Linked DNA regions of Notamacropus eugenii. The protein of the gene in region 1 binds, or shares a complex with, the protein of each later gene. Links are inferred from orthologs where the notes say so. Each region holds a gene or a part of one and is shown on either strand. Other genes may lie near its edges.

Evidence for each region. The genes of interacting proteins can lie anywhere in the genome.
Region 2: HDAC3 (region 1) and CORO2A share a complex: the UniProt entries of both Homo sapiens proteins name them as parts of the N-Cor repressor complex. The link is inferred for Notamacropus eugenii from reciprocal best matches to the Homo sapiens genes HDAC3 and CORO2A.
Region 3: HDAC3 (region 1) and TBL1XR1 share a complex: the UniProt entries of both Homo sapiens proteins name them as parts of the N-Cor repressor complex. The link is inferred for Notamacropus eugenii from reciprocal best matches to the Homo sapiens genes HDAC3 and TBL1XR1.

The regions. Positions count from the first base shown.
Region 1 is NC_092872.1:369,001,021-369,008,947, reverse strand, and holds the start of HDAC3 (histone deacetylase 3), read left to right. Parts: upstream 1-4,854; 5' UTR 4,855-4,886; coding exon 4,887-4,941; intron 4,942-5,194; coding exon 5,195-5,277; intron 5,278-6,591; exon of another isoform or gene 6,592-6,691; coding exon 6,692-6,834; intron 6,835-7,656; coding exon 7,657-7,738; intron 7,739-7,869; coding exon 7,870-7,926; intron 7,927-7,927. Other genes in the region: RELL2 (RELT-like protein 2), read right to left, coding at 825-1,200, 1,530-1,715, 2,077-2,143, 2,227-2,292, 3,016-3,274. UniProt on the Homo sapiens protein: Histone deacetylase that catalyzes the deacetylation of lysine residues on the N-terminal part of the core histones (H2A, H2B, H3 and H4), and some other non-histone substrates.
Region 2 is NC_092872.1:63,135,224-63,142,873, reverse strand, and holds the start of CORO2A (coronin-2A), read right to left. Parts: upstream 3,033-7,650; 5' UTR 2,933-3,032; coding exon 2,870-2,932; intron 1-2,869.
Region 3 is NC_092877.1:346,936,414-346,944,422, forward strand, and holds the start of TBL1XR1 (F-box-like/WD repeat-containing protein TBL1XR1), read left to right. Parts: upstream 1-4,977; 5' UTR 4,978-5,041; intron 5,042-5,198; exon of another isoform or gene 5,199-5,888; intron 5,889-8,009. UniProt on the Homo sapiens protein: F-box-like protein involved in the recruitment of the ubiquitin/19S proteasome complex to nuclear receptor-regulated transcription units. Plays an essential role in transcription activation mediated by nuclear receptors.

The DNA of each region.
Region 1 (7,927 bases):
AATAAAGGGGCAAGGAACCCAAGCCAGTGCTTGAGCTTTTGTGTGCTGAGAGGGAGGCCTATTGGGGAGTATTGCTTCAGGTGCCCATCTTGAGCATGGGGCCTGCTCCCAAATTCCACACTCAAGCAGGGGAGCAAGTTGATGAAGGAGGAGTGAGCCTGGGGTGAATGTAGGGGTAACTTCTCCTCACCTTTGACCTGTCTTAGGCTGGAGATGAAGTGGAGGGAAGGGATTGAGAGGCTGGGGACCACTCTCTTCATTCCCAGACTGAGATAATATAGCCCCCAGGAAGAGGGGTTGTTTTGTTTTCCTGGAGGGCAATGCTGTCTCAGAGTGAGGAGAGGGCTTCATGCTTGTCCCTCTTCCCTGCCCAGTCAGCTACTCATCCTTGCAGTAGGGAGTGAAGATAAAGCTTGGGGAAAAGGAGAGGGAAGGGGATAGTCTTCCTGCCTCCTCTAGCCTTTCTCCACCCCTCCCCCTCCACTCTACCTCATGTTGCCCTTCCCTTCTCAATGCCCCTTGGAGCAGTGGTGCCCTTAGCCCCTCCCTCCTTAAAATCAGCTTCATAGGCTGAAGTTTTTTGTTTTTTACCTTGGGGTGCCCGCCCTTCCCTGGAAACAAACACATTTTGGGAGGGCCAGACTCACCTCACACTCATCTTGAGCCACCTGGCGGTAACACCTGAGATAAAGAAGGAAAGGGCTACCATAAACTCTCTAACTTCATCTAGTCAGAAAACTGGACCTACTAAGCAGGGACTGTGGCTTTATCCAGTGACTCTGCCCACCCTGACTTCTCTATACACACATCTGATTGTTGCCTACCTGGAGATCTGAGGCATCCAGTTTGGCTGGCTGTCCATTAGTTTCCCTTCTGGTCAACACTGGCCTTGTGTCCCTCTCTCTGGCTGCTGCCTCTGAGTCTTCCATGGCTCCAGAGGGCTTCTCAGTCAGAAAGGGGACAAGGCTCCTTTCTCTGAGGCCCCCATTCTGTACAGGGGAACTAGATAGGATGCCAACCTCTGGCCCTGATGCTGGAAGTCTCTCTGTGGCAGGAGTTCCAGTCCCAATCTGCCCTTTCCCAGAACTCTGGCCACCCCCTGGGTCCTGCCCACCACTGAAGCCCCAACTTCTATCGATGGGTGAGCCATCTCGATGTTCATGAAGCCCAAGTCTCTTCTCAATATGTGTCACCCGGAACCTGGAAGGGAAGGGAATATGCTGTGACTCAGGATTGCTAGAGGTTCTCTGAACCCTTTCTCCCAACACTGCCCCCAGCACTCCCATTTACTGACATTTGATAGCTTCTGAAAGCAAAGGAATCCTCAGCACATAGATGAATCAACCCCAAGAGTACTCCCTGGCTGGAAACCCTCCTCTTCCCCTACCCTCCAGAATAGGAGGGGAGTAATACTAAGTAAGGAAGCCTGGATAAATCTTCCGGTCAGGCCAACTGTCTTAGAAAGATTTACCACCTGAATGGGAGGCCCTGAATGCTGCCCCCCTCTTCTTTGGGTGCTCTATCCACACCTGCCCACAGAGAATACTGTGGTCTCTCCTGGCCTAGTACGGCCCTTGCCCTCTTTGGATCGGCCCTGTCGGACGAGAGGTGGCCTCTTGTTTCGGCTGCAGTGGATACAAGGGGCTGATGAGCCCAGGTGAACTGTATGGTGATGAGATGGAGTCCCATCCTGGAGGCTTGGAGCACCATCAAGACTGAAAGAATAAAGGAAAATCCTTTCCACTGTGCCCTCTGTGCATCCATTCGACACTCCCCCCCCCACCCCCCATCTTTCTATCTGCCCTATTCTTTCTCCAAACTCTGATTCACACCAAGGAACTAGTGACAACATTTTGTGACTCAAGGCTATTTAAATCCAATGAGGCTACATTGTGAAGTCAATAACTAGCCTAAAGAATGAATGATGGAATTGAGACAGTGATACTTGGATAGCCTGGTGCTCCTCAAATCATAGTGTCCAACTAATTAAGTTGTGACTTTAACAGGGGCTAGTTGTTAAGGAGAAAGTGCTGTCCTGATCAGTATTTGGGGGAATTCTCCACACTTCCAGCTCACCTGGACAGCTGTACTGTTGCCTCACCTTCACTGTCCCCAAGCATCTCTTTCAAGGCCTCAGCATTGGCTGTAAAAGACAAGTGGCAAGAGAATGTCATGGATGTAGGAATGGAGCAGGGGACTGAACAGCAGATGCCAGTGAGCACTTGCCTTCATTTTGGATGATGCATTGGACAATCCTTTCCACTGTGTCCTCATTCACATCCTCATCATCCGCTGTGGAGGGGAGGAAAGGGGTCAACTTCAGGGAAAGAGAGACTGGGGCCAACGCAAAGTCACTGGCCTTTGGATTGTTCCTTTGAGTTTCATGACCACCTTATTTGGCTTCCTGGCAGTTCTAGTGGTTCAAGATCAGTGACCACCATAGGATTACAACTCCAAAGCCATAAAGGACGTTAGAGGTCATAGAGTACAATCCCTTCATTTTATAGATGGTAATATCGAGTCACAGAGAACTGAGGTGGTAGGAGATTGCCAAAGTTTCACAAGGAGGCCGTTCTCTTCCTCCTGCCTCCTTTTCACTTTCCCAGGGGTTCTGTTTCAGCCTACTGTATAATTTCAGGAGTAATGAACCAGCAGGTCCCCAAAATACTTCACGAGACCTCAGTCACTGTGATTTTTGCCTTTTAGTTACTGAACTCACTGCACTCTATCCCCCAAACTAAGCTGCAAAAACTCCCTGACAGGTTAATGAAACATGAACTGTGAGTTATGGATAACAGGGGAGCAAAGGGGGATGGAAGTCGCTCTGGAGGAGTCATCTTCCCACCAGGGGTAGGAGAGAGGAAGAAGAGACCTGGATAAGGTGCACTCAGGAGTGTTAGTGAAAGGTGCAGGTGTGTGTGGCACATACAAGTGTGTGATGGAAGGACGTACAAGGAAGAAAATGAAGGCGGCTGGTCCCTGGTGATGGGGCTCCCCCTCTTTTCCCACACTTACGTGGCTGGAGCTGGGCATCCTCGGGCTCTGAGCCTCTCGATGTCCGACAGCGATAACCCTTCTTCTTGAGTACATGGCAGATCATGAACCCCACGAGGCCCATGAGAAAGAAGACCAACACAAGAAGGAACAGCATGTACAGCCCATGCTGGGGCTCTGGTCCTGGTTGCAATTCCGACATGCGGCCCTGGGGGGCGGGCCGAGCCGGGGTCAGGGCCTCAAAGAGGGATGGAGTCAGGGGGAGGGCGGTGAATTCCATGCTTGGACCCCTACCGGGAGTCCCCCCAGGACCCTCCAGTAAATCCAGAACCCCTTGCCTTCTCAGCCCAGGAGCTGTCCAGGGATTGGGTGCTAGTCAGCCAGGCCCCGGGGCACCTGGTCAATAGGGGTTGCAAGTTGTTTTCCATACTCCTAATCCAACCTTCATCCCTCTTCCCTTTGATATTACGTGCCTTCCTTCTCCCTGCATAAACAAACCCTACTTTCTCCCCATCCCCATTCCTCCCAAGGACACTGTCACTGAAGACTGGACGGAGCTCTATGATGCGGTCCTGGGCATAGTCTGAGTCAGCGCTGGCCCCTCACTTCCTCCACAACCCCAGGTCAGGTCCCCTGAAACGCTCCTTTCCTTCAATACCCCTCAGTTTGTCCCACCGCTCTCCAACTCCTGGCTCCTAGAGACATTCTGGACTCCCCTCCCTCTCCAGAATGCACCCCCCCCCCCCTCAATTCCCCTGGCCCAGCTGACCTTGTGGTCTCTGCACGGCCCCTGGGGATGCGGTATGTATGTTCGGCTTTGGCTCCGGCAGCGTCCTAGTACCTCTCAGCTTGCCCTGGGAGCCCTTCCCGAGAGCATCCTCCTCCCCCCTTCTCCCCACCCCCCAGGCCACCTCACCCGCTCCAGCTCCGGCTCCGGGCTGCGGCTGCTGGTGCCGCGGCGGGCTGGGGGTAGGGGAGTAGGGGTACAGGAAGGCGGAGGATAGGGAAGGAGGGAAAGCGGAAATCGAATTGGGTGCAGGCGTCCTCTGGACTTTCAGGGTTGGGGATGGGAAGGGGATGGGGGGGCCTCTACCGCAGCCACCTCCTAGTCCCGGCTGCTCTCTCTCCGGCTGTGCTCCCTGCGCGGGCACGGGAATAAAGGGGGCGGAGCGGCAGGTGTGTGGGACGGAGTGCGTGCGTGACACCACAGTGTCTGACACGGCTAGGTCTCCGTGTCAGTGTGTCCCACTCGGGGCGTGGGTCTCTCAGGCACCTTGGCCACCGCTGGGTGATATGCCCCCTTGTTCTGGTTCTTGGGTACAACCCGGGAATCTGGGAGCCCGGCAGGTGGGAAGGTGTCAGTTGCCCTTCGGGCAGGATACAGACAGCTCCCTGCACCCTAGGACAGCCTCTCATCCCCAGTGCCCAGGTAGAAACGCGGCGGCGGGATGTGAACCCCCTACTTCTCAGGGTGAATAGGAGGGGGGATGGGATGCCCACGGACTGAACGATTAATAAACCTCTGTGGAATTAAAGGCTTGGAAAATGGGGAACTCTGAGATGCTCAGCTTCTCGGGGACCGATTGTGCACTTCAAGTTCCGCGGATACCCCGGGAACACCCTCCCTCTGGGGCTCGGCCCCACCCTCCCCGCGGTGTTCAGTCACCCCAGCCAGCAGAAGCAGCCAGCCTTGAGGGGGCGGAGCTACCGGAGTCAGGGGGCGTGGCACCTCTGGGCCGGGGCGGGGCCTTGATTTCCCCCTCCCTTGAGCCTTGGAGACCCCAGCGACCTCGGATTCCGCAAGGGGCGTGGCGTCGCGCGATGACGCAGAACGCACGGGCCTGGAGGCGGGGCTGGAGGGCGGAGGCGCGGGGCCTGGTCCCCCTGGTACTATGGCCAAGACGGTGGCCTATTTCTATGACCCGGATGTGGGGAACTTCCACTATGGTGAGAATGGGGAGGAGAACCCCGGGCAGCGAGGTGGGGAATGGGGGAGGAAGAGGGCGGGGGAGTAGGGGGCACGGGCGCGAGCAGGCTCCCTCACCTCTGTCCCCCCACCCCCCACAACCCGGACCAAGTGGAGGATTGGGAGGTGGGGGTGGGGTGGAGCGAGTTCCCTAGGACCCTGGGGAGGGAGGATCCTGGTTGGGCCCTTTGGGGTGGTGACTCGGAGACCCTTCTTTACCACCCCTTTCTCCAGGGGCCGGTCACCCCATGAAACCTCATCGTCTGGCCCTCACCCACAGCCTGGTGCTGCACTATGGACTCTACAAGAAGATGATTGTGAGTGTTTCTCCTCCATCCTCTCCACCACCCCACGATTGGAGAGGGGGTGCAGTGCGGGAGGGGAGTGTGCACTTGCACTTGGGGTGCAGGCTTAGAGGAAATGGGGACAGGGAGACCCCTTCATCCCCTGAGTCATACATAGATAGGTTAATAGGGGTTAGAAAGGTTGTTAATAATGATTGGAAGGGATGTTAGAGATCTCTCTAGTGAAACGCCCTTCATTTTATAGATGGGAAACTGAGGCCAAGAAAGGGGAAGTTAAACAGGTAACCTATGTAGAAAGCCTGTGATTTGAACCAAGATCTTCTGACTCCAAATCCAACATATATATATATATTTTTTTACAATATCACCTCACCTCTCATGCTGTCCCACAGTATCCTTTTATTATCATAGGAAGATGCCAGAACTTTAGTATCCCAACAGAATGAGAGGATACTTTGAGTATGCACCTGTACAAGAGTTAACTCAGCCCTTCCGTCTTTCTGTTTTGGTTTGTATGGCCTTAGGAGGACTCCCTCCAAGTTGAGAGTTAAGGGGCTTGGGTTGGCTACTCATATACTTGGCACCTCTCTGTTCCCCCCCTCCAAAAAAGATACACCCCAAAATCTACCACAGCACACACAGAACCTTGTCTCTGTGGCTACTGGCCAAGGCATATTTCTTTGACATGGTTAGGTCATGGAAGATGAGAACTGAGACTGTTCCGACTCAGAATGGTATGCATATGCATGCCGTTGATGGTCACTTTTAGGATTACTGTTAAATATAAAATCCATAGATGGGTTTGCTTAGAATAGGGTTACTAAAATAGATTGGCTACCCTGTGGAGTCTTTTGATATATATATACTGAATTTGTTTTTCCAGTATTTGTAGAGCTCTGTATTTTGATATAAAAGAGAAAGCATTTACCTTTAGAGAGTGTTCTAACTATTGGAAAAGACATAATCTCCAATTTCAGAAAGCTTCCAATTAATTTGGGGAATCATAACAAAGAGAATACAATAATAATGTACTATATTTGTATATTGATTGATGCTTTTCAAAATATTTTCATGTACAATGTCACATTTGAATCCAGAGGTGATCGGACAGCAGGACTATGGAGAAGGACAGGAAGGAGTGGGGGACCGAGGAAAGGGTGACATGGGAAACATGAGAATGTGGGTGGGGATAAATATAGCAAAATAGTCAATGACTGAATTCAGCATCTTTGCTTTAGCCTCAGATTGATCTTTTTTTTCCATGGGGAGACCTCCATGTAAGAGGGAGTGTGTCTGTATGTGTGTGTGTGTGTGTGGGTACTTGGGTGGGAGTACGTTGGAACCTCTGAGGTTGGACTGAAGCAGTCAAAGCCTCCTAATTTGGAACTAATCCTGCCAAAGTTCAACATGTTTTCTTTATTCCAAGGTCTTCAAGCCATACCAAGCCTCTCAGCATGATATGTGCCGCTTCCACTCAGAGGATTATATTGACTTCCTGCAGCGGGTCAGCCCCACCAACATGCAGGGCTTTACTAAGAGTCTCAATGCCTTCAATGTGGGGGATGATTGGTGAGGGAAGGTCAAGGGACCCTTGATGTGGATCAGTGTTGGTCATTGGGGTGGGGAATTAATTGTAGAGAAGAAGGAGGGAAGTTATGGGGAGAAAAAGACATAAGGTACTGTGTCAAATGTAATTGGGGACACACAGAAGTACAGTTTTGAACTTGAGGAATTTATATTCAAGTTGGGGAGACCTGCCATATAGGGTAAGTAGTACAAACTCCCAAACTTTTTAGCTTGGCCTTGAGGGTTATTCCTGGTCTTTCTTTTAAACTGACTCTCCAACTTTGTCTTTTGCTCCTCCCCTACACGAACTGCCAACTGATTTTCTTTTTTCCTCAATATGCCATGCATATTCTGCTTTGCCCATGTCCTTCTACCTATTTAAATTCTACCAGTTGTTTAGCTCAAGTTCCAAATCCTGCATGAAGCCTTCTGGTGGCTGCAGCCTCATTATTTCTCCTTCCTCTTATTTCCTATAGCATTTTTGGCTGTACTATTGACTTGACACTAATTATATGCTATGTTATGATATCTCTTAAATTGTTCTTCATTTTTCTTTATGTGTGTCTTTCCCCACAGTGCCTAGAATAGTGTTGGGCAAATATTAGGTGTGCAATAAATAAATAACATTCTCTGTGTGTGTATATACATATATATACATATATACACACATACTTTTTTTTTTTTAATAAAAAGACGAATGAATAGGATGGAAGGTAAAAGAAAGAGGGCCTAAATTGGATTAGGTGTATTGCCTGAGAGGGTGTTCAGTTTCTTGAGAAAGGAGCCAAGGCTCTGAGTGATCCAGCCATGACCTCTGTCTTACAGTCCTGTGTTCCCAGGCCTCTTTGAGTTCTGTTCCCGTTACACAGGTGCTTCCCTGCAGGGAGCTACACAATTGAACAACAAGGTAAGCATATCCTTGTCCACCCCCATTCATCCACTGCTATGGTATCCACAACCACTGAGCTTTTGCCCCATCCTCATGTTCCCTGTGCCTTAGGTATGGGGAGGGCTATGATTTGGATGTTTGTCCTTTAGATCTGTGATATTGCCATTAACTGGGCTGGAGGACTGCACCATGCTAAGAAGTTTGAGG
Region 2 (7,650 bases), about 310 Mb from region 1:
CCCTGCAGTTGTCAAAAGCTGCCTTTTTTCCTTAGCTCTGCCCCTCTGAAAACTTTTTGGCACCAACTACTCCATAAAGCCTTTCTTTCTTTAATTCTCTCAGGTAGTTGTATTTTCTCTTACTTCATTATGGGCCAAACACCTCAACTGCTCTGTGCTGATGGAGCCATATTAATTAGTGATAAGGATATAATCCTAAGAGATGGGCTAAACACTTTCATAGTTTTCTCAACAGAGCATTAATCCTGTATTTATTTATTTATGTTATACCTCTTCAGTTGAAACTAAAGTCCTTGAAGGGAGGACTTTTGTCACTTTGATCTTTATTTCCCTGGTACTTAGTACTCTGAACATAGCAAGTGTTTAATAAGTATTCATTGGATTCAAGTCTGAAATGTGCCACATAAGTCAAAGACATGAAAAAATACTAATAATTGACAAATATGCTCCACTTTAAGGCTTATAATATGCTTTCCTTATAGTGAGGCAGGTAGTACAGTTAGAATTATTCTTATTTTACAGATGAGGATAGTGAGGTTTAGGGAGAGAAAAGGAACATATGCATACCAGTATCTCTCATTATAAGTAAACTGAATATACATGCATGTGTGTGCATGTGCATGTGTGTGTATACGTGTATGAATTTAAAACCTAAAGAGTTTATAAAGTAGACAATGGATTCGTTTCTCATAGCTTAGAACCTTAAACTTAAGGAATTCTTAGGTTGGAATTTATAGTGGGTTAGTGAGAACAAGTAGATAACCGAACAATCCCTACTAGGTAACATTGGTAGATCTAAATCCCAAGACTCTGTGATCTCACCGTGTATGAAAGAGAAGCCTGAACATAATCTCTGGGAGGTACAAATGTAGGATCTAGAGACACGCAGTCATGGGAGACATTTCACGACTATTTTTACAATAATGCAAGAAAACCCTTTAGTTCCTCTGGGAAATTTAGCTGACACAACAAGAAAGGTTTATCCTGGAGAAACCTGGGAAAGTTTGACAGCCCACTAGAGAGGGGTTGGAGGTTGGTGTGAGCTTTAAATTTCTGCCTCCTCACTATCCACAACTTTTATACGCTTCCCTACCTCTGCAGGATACAGGATAGAGGTACATAGTGCATGTACCTAGATACATGTGTCCCCAAGAAGTATTAACTGAGATTACAAAGTATCCTGGATCAGCTCCCTGTTCTCACCCCGAAATGTGCCTATTCTGATGATTTCAGCTATGACTGCAATAAGGGTTTAATTTTCTGGGAAGGCAATAGGGTGGGGAGAAACAAAATAACGCTTGCTCCTATACAAGAACCCAAGAGCTTTTATTTCTTCTCTTTACACACTGTGTTTCCTTGCCTCTCACCTGTACTACTTTCCCATTCCATCCACTAAAGTTTTTCTTTCTTTTCTTCCATCTAGGAAACGGGAGAGTTCAGGAAAGCAATGATCAGGTAAGTTCACTGAATAGATGGCCAGATAGGCAATGGCAAAGTTAAAGGAGTACACACATTTCAGGGAATGAGCAGGGAAGGCCTTGGAGAGCATGAACCCTGATAAAGGACAGAGAGATTATCCTCTAGGTACCCCATTCAGCTTCACTGTCCTCCTCCCAGCAACTCAGGATTATGATTCTGAATTCTCTGATTCCTATATCCTCTGATTCAGAAATTCTCTCTGAAATGAACTTCTATTTCTTTACATGACATTGGGAGATACAAGTTTCAGATGCCAATTCACATACTCTCAAGAGAGGAAAAGTTTACAACTGTATCACCACCTCCTATTGTTCCCTCCACTCTCTAGTTACTATAATCCTTATTGAAATACAATTCTTTTACTAGGAACAAGGTGATAGGCATTCAACTCTGCTGCTCCCTAGATATCCCTATGTAAGTTACCAAACCAATATTCCTTTCCCCCAACATCCTACCAGACATCCCATCCAATGGAAGATTCCAGATCTAGCCAGGAGCTCCATTTGCTCTTTCTCAAAACTTTCCAATACCTCTCTAAGGAGAACCAATGAATCACTTCCAAGTTGTCCCAGCTTGGGAGTTGCATGTCACAAGACACTTCTCTCTTTAAAGAAATAATTAAGACCTATAGATTTGGACTCTCTAGGGCTAATGAAACCTTTGAGATCATCTTGCCACTCATTCCTTCCTTCCACTATTTTATGGAAGTGAAAACTAGAACCAGAAAAATTAAATGACTTGCCAAAGGTCATGTAGATAACAAGGAGCTGCTGTTACTCAAACACAAATTTTCTGATCCAAAATCCAGGGTGTTTTCCATAATACCATATTTTCAGAACATATAACTCTTAGGCACTTCTAATAAATACCTTTTAATTCAATGCAGGTCTAACTACTTCCGGATGGCTTTGTGTTTTTGTGCTCTCTCCCCTTAAAGCCCTCCTCCCCAGAACTCTATAGAGCACCAGAGTTTGATCTCCTTCTTTCCCTTCCCAGAGGTTCCCTCACTCCAAGTGCTAATCTTAACAGATAATTCTAAAATTATTCAATTAAAAGTCAGTAACCAAAGGGGAAAGAGGTTCACTCCACATTTCCTCTGTCCTCCACCTCACTAACCTGGATGAAAATATGGAGTTTCACATGGAAGTATTTTCATCACCTTACTCAAAATGTGATCATTGTTTTCAACGTCTTGATTTTGCCTTCTAAATATTCTTAGAATGATTGTTGTGTCCGCTTGTCTAAAAGCTAACAAAATCAGCTTTGGCACTTCCGAGATTTGAAACTAACAGTCACATATCTCAGAATCTCAGACAACTGGAGAAGGTAAAGATAGTCTGCCTTCTTCCCCTGCCTCCACCCACCACCACTCTGGGTTCTGGTGACTTACCATCTTTTTAGTTGTTGAGGAAAGATAAGAATTTGGATCGCTGGGTTCCTGCCTCTTGGCCATCTCTCAAATGCCGAGAAAATAACACAGCCTCAGCTTAAGAGGAATCATATTAGAACGACACATCTTCCTCTTCTAGCCCAGCCCAGCCTATGTATGGGTGTGTAGCAAACGACAATGAAATTTGAACTTGAAACTCTGTCTGTCAGAGGGGTGTGTCAGTGTGGGCACTCAGTCCTGGCCTGTTTACCTGTGACCTTGGGGGAATCTGTTGCCTGCACTTTGTTTGACTAACCTGCTTCACCACAGTTGTCAAGCCTCCTATCTGATGCCCAGGGCTGTTGCCAGCATAGATTACTTCAGAGATTGGTCTCAGTCTTGCTTAATTCAGATTTCCCTTCTGGGAGATCTCTTCTGCCTTTTCCTTTATCCTTTCCTAAATAGGCTTGGAAAAGAATCTCCTTCAGAAACCCCCAGGTCCATAGGGCCCAGGCACAGGGAGTGTTTTGGCAAGAGATAGGATCAAGCTTGAGCCTGCATAGGGCCCGTGGGAGAATGAGTTCCCCAAAAGCTGCACCTTCCTTGGCTTCCAGAAATCATCCTGGCTTTGTTTGGGATTACGTTTCATCTAATGTGTATGTATCTTGGATGTGTGTCTGTATGAATGCATGTATCTCTTTCTCTATGTTTCTGTCTCTGTGCATATATATATATATGTATATATTTGTCTTAATGTTTATGTTACATATTGTACCATTCAAAGTTACGATTATGTAAAATATGGTCATTGGCTCCAACCCAATGGAAATAAATAGTGAGAATTCAAACCAATGAGACCACTTCAGGTGATTCATTATTCCCACTAATTGGAACATAGCTATGTTTAAAAATTGCTTGTCGACTGATCGATTACTTTTCTTGAACTCACAGAGGTCAAATAGAATGATGGATGAAGCACTAGCCTGAGAATCTAGAGACCTCCGTCAAGTCCTAACTGATAATCATAAGATGATGACCATTTTAATTCTCTCAGCCTCAATTCTTTCATCCATAAAATAGGGATTATAATACCTGCACTGTATCTATCTCACAGTGATTGTAAAAAAAAAAATCACATAAATGCAAAAAGATTATGATTATTTAATAATAAGCAAGTTTTGGCAAATCCTCTGGTTGCATCGCATATGAAACAAGAAGCAGAGTGGTGGCTAGGGGGCATCCTCCAATTTCCAAGAGAAGGAATTCTGAAGCTGCTTTCTGGTTTACTCCTTGCATTCAGATTCTTTTCTGTATCAAAACAGGATCATTGCCCTGCAATCCAGGACTGATACACAGGTGGAAATCTCTTGTATTAAGTACTGTTCTTTCTTCAAGTTAGTAATTTTGTCTTTTTCCCCCCCAGCATGTATAACCCTTTAGTGAGATAAGTGATCCATCAATCATTCCCATCCACTGGCTTTTACAAACACATACTCTTTCCTTAGCAAATCTGAATAATGTTTTTGTTTTTCCTTGAAGGGGAATAAGAATTAGCACCCTATAGTGTGCTAGACCAGGATTCGGATGACCCAAGTCCTGGAACCAGCTACTGCTAACTGGCTATATTACCTTGGACCTTTGAAGAAGCATCATGGGCACGGGACAAAGAGCTAGTCTGGGAGTCAGAAAGACCTGAGCCCAAGTCCCACCTCTGACACATACTGACTGGCTGACCCTAGTCAAGAGACTTTGCCTCTGAATGTGTTTCTAGGTAAAGAGAGGCCTTAGACACTTACTAGCTATGTGACTCTGGGCAAGTCACTTAATTCTGTTTGCCTCCGTTTCCTCATCTGTAAAATGAGCTGGAGAAGTAAATGGCAAACCACTCCAGTATCTTTGCTAAGAAAATCCCAAATGGGGTTATCAAGACTAGGACATGACTGAACAACAACAGACTTTCTAAGATATAAGCTGCAGAAGAGTTGTACGTTTTCACTGGTAAAGGCAGTTTCTTAAAGTTCTTATACTGATGATATCAAAGGTCTAGTCTTTCTCCTTCTCTTCCCCTCAAGACCTTGGCTAAGTCACTTTGTTGTACCTCAGTCTGCTCATTTGTAAAATCGGGGAATTGTATTTGATGCCTTCAAACATGATCCCTCTCCCAGCTCTGACAGTTCATCAATCTATCAATATAGGTGCAGAAGGGAGGGTAAATGGGGTGGGAGGGTCCTCAGGCTCTTCTTGGATGGAAAGCAATGGAAATAGAGGAAGCATTAACTCGCACACTATAGGTGCTTGATAAATCCTTGGGTTGAATTAAGTAGCCCAGAGGACTTGCAGCAGTATGGTAGGAAGGATAGTGCATTGTGGGCAGCAAAAAGGAAGCAAATACAGGCAACCTGTCCTCAGGTGGCACTGGGAGATTCCCTGGGGACATCCCCTGAAGCAGAATTGAGTGGTAGCCAATGATACCAGCATTTCTGCCAGGATATTTAAGGGAGTGAAATGAGAGGTAGCTGATGCATCTTGGACCAAACTGGCCTATGCATGGTGGTGAGGTACTGTGTGGCTGATAAGGATCAACCACAGGGGAAGGGCTGGTTGAGTCCTGGAGGAACAAGGCTCTCTCTCTTTTCTTATTCCCATGCATCCTAACTGTGGTGAGCAGGAGGTATGTCTGTGTTGGTCCAGGGTGTGGACTTGTGATGTCTCAGAGGCATTCCCCATGTTGTCTGCCTGCATCAGATGAGCGGAGATTATTCCTGGTTTCCCATTCTTAAAAAGGGGCCTCCAGTGCAGGTTTCAGGCATACATATGTGACTTTTCAAGTTTCCTCTTTTTTTCCCCTTCTTTCATTCACTCCCACTCTGTACCCGTAGCTCCTTTGGCTGGGAGCCCAGGTGGAAGAAACAATAACAACAGCTGAGTTATCTACCATTGACAAGGGTCTCATCGAGGATCTCCTAGCATGTGGCAAGGGGTGCGAGCCTTCTGATGAAAGGAATGTTCTGGCTAACTAAAAGTGGATGGATTTCTGCAGTGAAACTGTCCTCAATAAGAGGGATCTGCTTTAGGACATAGGAAGCTTCCTCTAGAACTCTCTTTTAGGGAAGCCCTGAGAAGCAGGGGTATAGTGGGCAGAGAGCTGGCCTTGAAGCCAGAAAGGTCTAAGATTAAGCCCTGCCTTTGACACATGCTAAGTGTGCAACTCTGGGTATAACACACAAACTCTATGTGCTCTAGGCAATTCTCTAAGACTATAAGTTAGGATAGGAGGCAAGGGAAGAAAAAATGGAGAAAAAAGAAATTTACATGATAATTGCATTATGTATTTAAAAGAAACAGCAAGTTGTACATAACAGATTTGCAGTTTCATATGCAATCATCTTTTTAAAAATTATACTCTATTATGAAAATGCTTGTTTTACTCCATAAATTAAAAATAAAAGAAATACATGTAATATAATATTCATAAAATAAATAAAAATAAAATTTTCACAAAGACTATAAGTTACAGAGTAGTTTCTAACCTGCATTGATAGGAGGAATTTCCTCACCTGGGAATGATTTCTTCACCAGTAGAATCATGCATCCAGTTCCTATCCCACAATTATGTTGCCTGCGATATCAATTCGTGTATTTTAAGAAGTATATGGCCCAATCTCTTGATTCACCAACAACGTCTCTTTTCCTTGCTAGGCTTTAATATTCTCTTCTATGAAATCAAAAAGTTAACTTGGCCAAATGATCTCTAAGATCGCTTCCAACTCTGACATTTTAAGGTTTCTTCCTACTCTGCAGGTGAAAGATGTAGAACTGGGAATCATTCCTAGAGAAGTAGAGGTTGAAGCCAGAAAGCAAACCAGAGAGAGAGGATTGAAGAGATTCAGATGTTTTTCGAAAAATGAAAAACTCAAAGGTATTATTATTTCTATTATTATTAGGATGAAAAATGTGGCCTCTATGGAGATGAGCAGTAGATTATCTTAGGAATTTCACTTTTGGTGAAAGAATCCCCAAGGCTGAAGTTGCCATATTTCCAATTAGTCAGTGCATAACAAGGGTGAAGTTGTAGGAGGGGGGAAAATGAAGATTAAGAGCCAATTTAAAAGAATCTTATGTTTTTAGAGATTTCGATGTCATGGAGTTCAATCCCACACTTTTCTGGTTGAGGTGACTGAAGGTCAGAGATGATTTGCTAAAGGTTGCATAGTAAGTAGAAGAACCAGGAGCTGGACTCGTCTTCTGACCCTAAGTCAGTGCTCATTCAGTACTATAACATTGAGTCTGGGTGCCAAAATGGCTTCTTCCAGCACAACTGCTCCATGTAGCACTTTCTATTCTTGAGTATGGGCAGAAGACCACCTTCCACTCGACCACTCCCTCATGTTCTAATCCCCTGTCTTCTACTCAGGAAAGATAGCTTTTCAGATTAAAAGCATTTGAATATTGAACATCAAAACACACACTACACCATGTTATCTAAGAAAAAACAAAGCTGACATTCCTACAATATCTTTCTGGAAGAAAGAAGCTTCTAAAGAAAGTTCTCCCTTTCAATGAATACAATGCCTATTATCCCACTGATAGAGAAATGGGAATAAAAATGAACAGTTTTCATCCTATTGGGGAGAAGTGAATTGAATTAATTCATTAGAAGCCAGTACTTTCCTTCCTTCCTTCCTTCTCTCTGTCTCTGTCTCTGTCTCTCTCTCTTTCTTTGTCACTGAACATTAAGGGGCTTCAATGGCTGTTGGGGTCATGAGTTACTAAATGAAAGTCCATTGGTTTTCAGCAAGTGT
Region 3 (8,009 bases), on another chromosome or scaffold:
CTCTTTCTTAATCTTGTGGGCACCAGTCTTTGGAATGCTTCATTTAAAAGTTACAAAGTAGTTTCTTCCTTCTAGAAACACATTACCATTATATTCAGAGAAGAGGGAGGTTTTCATTTTGGGAGCCAGCTCTGAAAATCAGCAGAATAGGGTTGCTCCTTTGTCCTTAACTCACCCCATGGTGCCTAATTATTGCTTGAATTTCAATGTAGTTTGTAAATTCAAACACCGGATATGTTGCAACCTGAGAGGGTGAAGTAACAATTGCCTATGACCTGTCTGTGGTAACTCTATGTGGGGTTCACATTAAGGTCCTCTTGTCCCGACAGTTGAGTAGCCTGATAATAGAAATTAGACATAACCCCTAACTGCGGTCTCTTTATGTCATTGATGGCTGTAGACACAAAGCAGAATAGTTGCCATTTTGGGGAACTTTCATTATTACAGAGAATTTCCCTTCCCCCACTCCAGTGCAGCAGGCTTTTTCCAGAAGCAGGGTAGGTGGGGTAGGGTGTATGCAATTTGCTTAGAGATTTTTTATATCTGTAGATCTCACTTTTTTTGGGGGGAGGGAAATGGGGAGTGGGAAGGGTGGTGAACTCTATCTATTAATTTCCCCTAAGATTTAAGGTTTTTGTTTTGTTTTTTGAGGTGGGGGAAGGTGGGAGGCCCCTGAGAGGTTTACTTATAACTGGAAAGAAGGCCACTAGCTTTGGACTGAGAGAACTTGGCTTCCAATTCTATCTCCAATGCTACCTGAGCTACCCCCCCCCCTCCCCAAGTTCCTTTAGACTCCTTGGGCCTCAGTTTTCTTCCTATAAAAATGGAGTCTATGTGGTTAACCAGATGGCCTCTGAGCTCCCTTCAAATTCTAAATCTCTGATCCTATGACAAAACTATGGAGGAAGTCCTGCTTATTGACTTTGTCTCATGCAAAGGAGAAGGCAGTAAAGTGGGGAGGGAGATACATGGAGGCAACCAGACTCTGCACCTGCTGCCTCAGGTTCCTGCCTCCAAGCCTGGAATGTTCTGCTTCATAGGACCTCTCACAGTGTAGTTTAGATCTTAAATCTACAGGAAGCCTTTCTGCACTGTCTCCTTCTTTCCCCTCCCTCCTCACGTACTTTCTCTTTCTCTGTTTCTGTCTCTCCTCTCCTCTTTCTGTCTCTGTCTCCCCTTAGGATCATAGATTTAGAGCTGAAAGAGGCATTAGAGACCATTTAATTCAATCTCATGCTAGAGAGGTAGAAATTGGAGGAGGTTAGGATTTAACCAAAATCACAAAGGTGGGAGACCCAGCTTCTGAGTTCCTGTCAGGACCCACTGACTCATTTTAGGGTCACTGCTCTCAACTGTGTAATGCTGCTTCCCTCACAGTGTACATCCTTTTCTCCTAGAAAAAAATGTAAGCTCTTAGAGGACGGGGATGGGTTCATTTCTATCTTTGTATCCCCACTCAGCCTCTAGTGCAATGCCTGGCATGTAGTAACAACAGTAAAAATAATAAGGTATAATAAGCACTTATGTGGCACTTTATGGCTTGCAAAGTGCTTTACAAATACTATCTCATTTGATCCAGCACCCCTGGGAGGTACTTGCTATTATCCTGATTTTACAGACGAGTAAAATGAGTCAGAGGTTAAGTGACTTGCTCAGGGTCACATAGCTGGTAAACAGCTGAAGCCGGTTTTGAACTCATGTCTTCCAGACTCCACTATAGGTGGTCAATAAATACTTGTTATGTTGTGATCAATAAACACTTGCCAGATTGAATTGAATCCTGATCTGCTTTCAAATCTCTGATTTAAAAGAACAGCTCCTATTACAGAAAATAGTACACTCCAAGAAAAGAGGACTCAGAGAAATTATTTTTGCATGTGAGATGGCCTGAAGGCCCAACATGTATGAATCTGTTTCACTGGTTTTTTGAGGTCTTGGGATCACACGAGAGAATAGCAGAGCTGAATAGACTTTTGAGATCATCTTCTCCAACCCCCTCATCTGGAAGATCAGGGAACTGAGGCCCAGAGAGATGAAATGAGTTGTGATAAAGAACTCCCAATTGAGCTGAAGTGAGCTCCCCCTCACTGGAAGTCTTGAAGCAAAGACTGGATGATTGACCACTTGTCCTGGGGGTAGTGGAGGACTTTTTTTTTTTTTTCCTACTATGGCCTAGGCTAATTGGTACTGACATCTCTCCCGATGCTGAAACTGTGTCTGTCCTAGAGAGTTGATCTGTCCTAGAGAGATGATCCCCCCTCCTCCCATACAAATATTATACAAATTGTTAACTAACTCCTAACCAGCTAGGTATTTTCAGGTCTTTCAGAAGCCAAGACTAGTTCTCTATCCCCACTACACTACCCTCAGGACCTAAGACTACATTTACAGGTAAGATTACAGGTCAGCATCATGGAGGGAATTTCCTAGATTCCATTCCACCTTCAAAAAAAAATACTACCATAAAATTGAGTATATTGGAATTATATTAATTCTATGGTGTGATTTGGAGGTCTTGTGTGTACTTTGTACGGAGGACATTCACTTAAAGATAACATGTCGTATATATTCTCTCTTTTATGTACAAGGATGACTTCTCACACATGCTTAATAAGGAATAGAAAAGCTTGGAGTTGGATTCCCCCCCACCCCCTGCCCAGTGGCTGTGGCCAGTTTCTACTTATGCTCCTTTTCTCAGTTCCTGTGGTGACCAAAGCTGTGCACCTGCACGTTAGCTGGGCATAGACATCGCTGAACTCTAAGGCCATACTAGAGAAACTGAGTGGCCCCTAGGGATAGGCTGAATCCTTTGGCCTTAGCCTCATCATTTAGGCCTCTAACCAAAAAAGCTACCAGACTATGGGCAGATAGATAACTGGAAGATTTCTTCAAGGTATTTAGTTAGTCTCTGAAAACTTATCAATGATTTTAAATGAGTATTTTCTAATGTATTTTAGCTACATTAAACTCATTGTGCATGAGTTGAAGAAAACACTGTTAAGAATATTCATTTTGAAGAAAGTCCAACACACAAAACCCCTTGCTTAACAAGTACGTAGAAAGGAACCACTTTACTTAGAAGAAAGTAATTATTCAAAAGAAAGCAAAATCTGTTACAAATTATATTTTCAAAACTGGATTGAAGGCTTATAATGTGGTCTCTCTATGCCACAAAAGAGATTACCCCCCCTTTTTCTATATGCTTTAGAAAGACTGCCCATCTTATTTTCTTTAAATGGTGACTATTCACCTCTTTCAATTTGATTTAATAAACATTTACTCACAGTTTACCCTGTGCCAGGCACTGTCCTTAAAGTTCAGGGAGCTTAGGTTTTACTGGATAGAAACTTCAACGAAACCCTGCCCCCCTGCTCCTTCCCCTCCCCCCTAGTTTAACCACCCCAGCACATTATCACTTTTCTAAGTAATATTTTATGGCTTGTGCTGATGGGATACACACCTATCAAAAGTAAAAGGTGAGAAAACTTCCCTGGTCTTTGCTGCTGTTGATGCAAATATTTGGTAAACACGTAGCAAATCATCTTATTTTTGCTAAAAAATGAGAGAGGATAGAATAAACCTTTAAAACAAGACCCAGCCTAAGATCAATACGGCCAAATGCCTAACGTACAGTACATTTGGGTAGAAACATCCCAGTTGTAATGCGGGGTCGAGTGTGTGTGCCTACCCTTTTCCTGGTTTTTTCTTCATGATTTTAGGGGTCTAGAGAGAAATTAAAGTCAGCGGCCTATCAGAGATGAAACAGAACCACCCTGTACACACAGACATGTGCGCGTGCTTGCACAGCTCCGCCAGCGAGCGCACACGTACGGGCTCTCCGGGCGCAGAAGCCTGCACGGATCCTCCGCCTCGATGCTTTATGTAACCATGTCTATTTCATGATCACGTGTGCGGATGGTGGAGCGGAGAGCATCCCCCCACCCGCTGGAGCCCTGGGCAGCGGGGCGTCCGGGCCATCGCAGGACCCTTCCCGGGAAAGTGTCCTGGGGGTCCTCCCGGCCCACCCCAGCCCCTCCCTTCGGCTAAGCCCCGGAAATGAAATGCCCTTGGTGCCTGCATCTCTGAACGTGCCCCTGTTTTCTGTGCCTGCCTTTTAGAAAGGAATGGGCATCCCAGCCCCGTCCTCCCCCGGCGGCCTGCAGCAGCTGGGGCAAGCAGGCCAGCGGCCAGGCTCCCGCCGCCTCCCCCCTGCTGGGCCCGGCCCGTTCTCCCCCTCCCCCTCCAAGCTCCATTTCCCCAGTCCCTCCTTTTCCTCTTCCCTCCTCCTCTCCGTCTCCCCTCCCACTCCCCAGTTCCTCCTCCCTCCCCTCCCCGTCTCCACGCCGCTTTCCCCTCCCCGCTCGTTTCTCCTCCCCTCTCCCCTCCCCCTCCCCGGCGTCTCTCTCCCTCCCCCTCCCCCTCCCCGCCCCGGGCGGGCGCTGGCTGCCTGCGCCGCTCTGCGCCGCGCTCGGGTTTGTTTGGCTGTGCGGCAGGAGCCGCCGCCGCCGCCGCCGCCGCCGCCGCGGGCCTCGCGAGCTCATTTGCGCCTGGCTGGTCCGGCCCCCTCCCCCTCCCCCTCCCCCGGCCCGCTCCCCTCCCCCTCCGCGCTCGCTCCCCGCGCCCCGCGCCCCGCGCCCCGCTCCCCGGCGCGGAGACTCCGAGCCGTTGGCCGCCCGCTCCGAGCCGCAGGGCTCCAGCCTCCGTGCTCCGCTCCCGCTCGCGGCCCGGCGGCGGCGCGGCGGCCGCCCCCTCCCCCGGCCCGGCTCGCGCCCCCCGCCCCCGCCCCGGCCGCCCCCGCGCGGAGCAGGGAGGCGGGCGCAGCTGGGAGGGCTCCTCGGCGGCGGCGGCGGCGGCGGAGTCGTCGCGCTGCCCGCCCGGAGCCCAGCCCGGAGCCGAGGCCGCTCCCGCCCGGGCTGCGCGGTCCGACCAGGCGCCTGAGGCCGGCCGGCCGGGGGCACTCGCTGGGCCTCCACTGCGGGCGGGAGGGGCGGCCGAGCCCCGGCCCAGCCCGGCCCAGCCCAGCCCCGGGGAGCGGCGCCAGGTAAGGAAGGGGGAGCGGGGACGAGGCCTGGGCGGGCGGGGGGGTGGTGGACGTGGAGGGGAGGGGGCTGCGCCGACTCCCGGTGGCGGGCGTGGGGGCTGGGCCCAAGGCTAGCACATTTTCCACTTGGCCCTTTGGGGAGCGGGTGTCTGACGGGGCGCTATTATTATCCTCGGTATTGGGATGGAGCCTCCCCTCCCCCTCTCCGCCCCCGCCGCCTCAGCAAGGTGATCCCGCTCCCGGTTCCGTTTGGGGTTTTTTTTAACCCTCCCCCACCCCCCATGCACCCTCCACCCTCCGAGCCTTTTCCCTCCTTTGGGGAAGGCTTTCAGGAAAAGAATTTGCAGCCGATAGAATTAGGAGCCGTCGTTAGGCAGCCTCCTTCGGAGCCTATTTTTAGCGAGGAAGGCGCCTTTCCGGGCACATTTATGATTATTAGTAATTTTCTGCAGCCCACCCGCGGCCAGCCGAAAGAACACCTTGGTTACTTAAAACGGGGGAAAACCGCCCCCCCCCCTCCCGGGGCCGACCCCGGGTCCGGGCACCTTCCCCCGGTTGGGTTAGGATAGTTTTCGGTCGTGTAAATTTCAGAAAACGAGGGATGTAATTGGAAGGATGAAAAATGTGCTTGGTGTCTGAACTCCTGCTGAAGGGGGGAGGGGAGGGAAAGCGTAGACACGCCGTCCTCACTTTCCCACTGGGTGATTGGGGTTTCCTTTCTCTTTCTGGGAGCTGCTTCTTTGTAACTTAGTTACTGTTGCTGAAAATTTTATCTTCAGGAAGTGTTCAGGAGAGGAGTGTGTTGGAAGTTGTTATTAAAAGTGTATTTCAGCAAGGGAGTTTGCTGGTAAGTTTCAGCTAGAACGGTCACCGTTTTTTTTTTTTTTTGACAGTGTAAAGGCCACGTTGTTGGTATAAAGTAGCTGCAGTTCGATGGAAATTACCCTATGGAGGTGTTTTTTCAGCCGAAGCAGACTTTTATTTATGTAGAAATGGACCTGAGGATGTAGTGTGAATGATTTCATGAATGCATTACCATATACTCAACGCTTTTAGGGAAGTTATAATTTTGGAACATTAACCACTTTATATTTTCAGCCAAGATCAACTTAATGCACTGAGCATAGATGTATGTAGTAGGCTTTGGGGTAAAACTTTATGTGGGATTGGTACTCTTTCTCATGTTGAGCTTTCAAATAATGTCGCTCTCTTCAAAAAACATGCTTTTGCAAGTTACAATTGAGTGATCCTAAGTCAGGCTTAAAATGGTTGTAATGTTTTTCAATGTTAATGTTCATTAAAACCTGGCTTGGTGCAGCCCTCTCTTCTCGTTTAAAAAAGGTCTTATTATGGGACATTTTACTATCTAATTTAAATGCTCTGCTTTGGAAATTTTACTTAGAGTCACGTCCAGTTTCCTTGTTTTCCAAATAAGAATTCCTTTTGTGGATTTGCTAGCTATGCTGAATCAAATCGGGTTGTTGAAGGCATGGGTAATTATTTGAGCCTGATTGGTTTAATTTTTTTCCCCCTTTGCTAAGTTGTAATTAAGTAATAACCTCTCTTCCCTTTCCTGGGGATTCCCTCTTGTGTGTGGATAATAAGGGGTCCTCATGATGTTTTCTTCAACATGCCTAAAGCAATTTGGAATTGTGGGGTGGGTTTTTTTTTTTTATGCTTTTAGGCAAATGCTAGTGACTGTGCTGAAATTCCCGTGGTGACTTCTTTTTTTGTTGTTAAGTGAGACACGGTGCCTCTTCGGTGTGTTATTAATCCCAGATCACTTGAGACTGTGTTCTTGCTATCTCAAGTTGTTAGTCTGGAGAGTCAGGACAGCTTTGTTTGTCTCCATGAAAACAGGGTTTTATGTCGGGTTGTTCCATGGGAGCTTAATGGCAGGCCTCCCAGATTATCATTGACAACTCCTAGAAGTATTTAGCATTTGCTTCTTGGGGAGGGAGGGAGTACAGTGAGGGTGGCAGAGGAGGAGGAGTAGAAAGAAAAATTGGCTAACCACTTAAGTGTTTGGATTCTTGATGCTACTTTATGAAAGTTTTTTCCTTTATGTACTTTCAGTCTTGTTTGAAATCTCTTACATTTTTTAAAAAAAGTTTGCTTTGAATATTCCATACAGCTAATCAACCATTACCTGTACTTGTGAGAGATGTGAATTTCAATTTATTTAAAAGATAAGGAAATCATCAACATTATTGCAGTGACGTATTGATTTTTTTACTTAAAGTACATTATTAACTAGATAGGAATTAATGGAAAAAGAGGTGTCAAATTCCCTATTTTAAATGGAAATAAAAATCAGTACCCATAAGAAAATGATTTGTGTGTTAAGAAGAAAGTTTTTCTTAAAAGTAAAGATTCAGATGCGCTCCGTATGTTATTTTTAAAACACCCTAAACTTTTTTGTTGCAGAGTTTAGTCGTTGCTGCCAGACTAACACTGCTTTTTACTTACACTAGTTTTTGTGGGATGGATTGGTTCCTTTTGTGTGTATATTTTGTATTTACTTGAGAGATTACATAAAATTTAACAGCTTTTTTGCACACACCAGAAATCTTTCCTATGTTTTAATATCTAAGTAAGATTGTTGATAATAGTACATATATAACAAAAGAACCAGTTTTCTTTACACTGAATAACTTACTTTCGTGAACTCAGGGCATTTCAAACTAATACCCAGAAAGGAAAGGAGCACAGAATAAGCATACACATTACCCGAAGAGGAGATGTGATTAATGGACCCTTTGAATGACAACCTGTTGAATAAATATATCTGTTCATGTATGGTAGTGAAACATAAATAAAACCTTGTCAGATGAATGGCTGACAAAGGAAACCACCTTTTATAATTGATTACAGTGCTGTTGCATAGAAAGAAATTCTGACTAGCCATGTTTGGGTGAAGTTGGGAGGGAGGGTTTGGTTGATGTTGCTCACTTCTCTCTTCATTTTT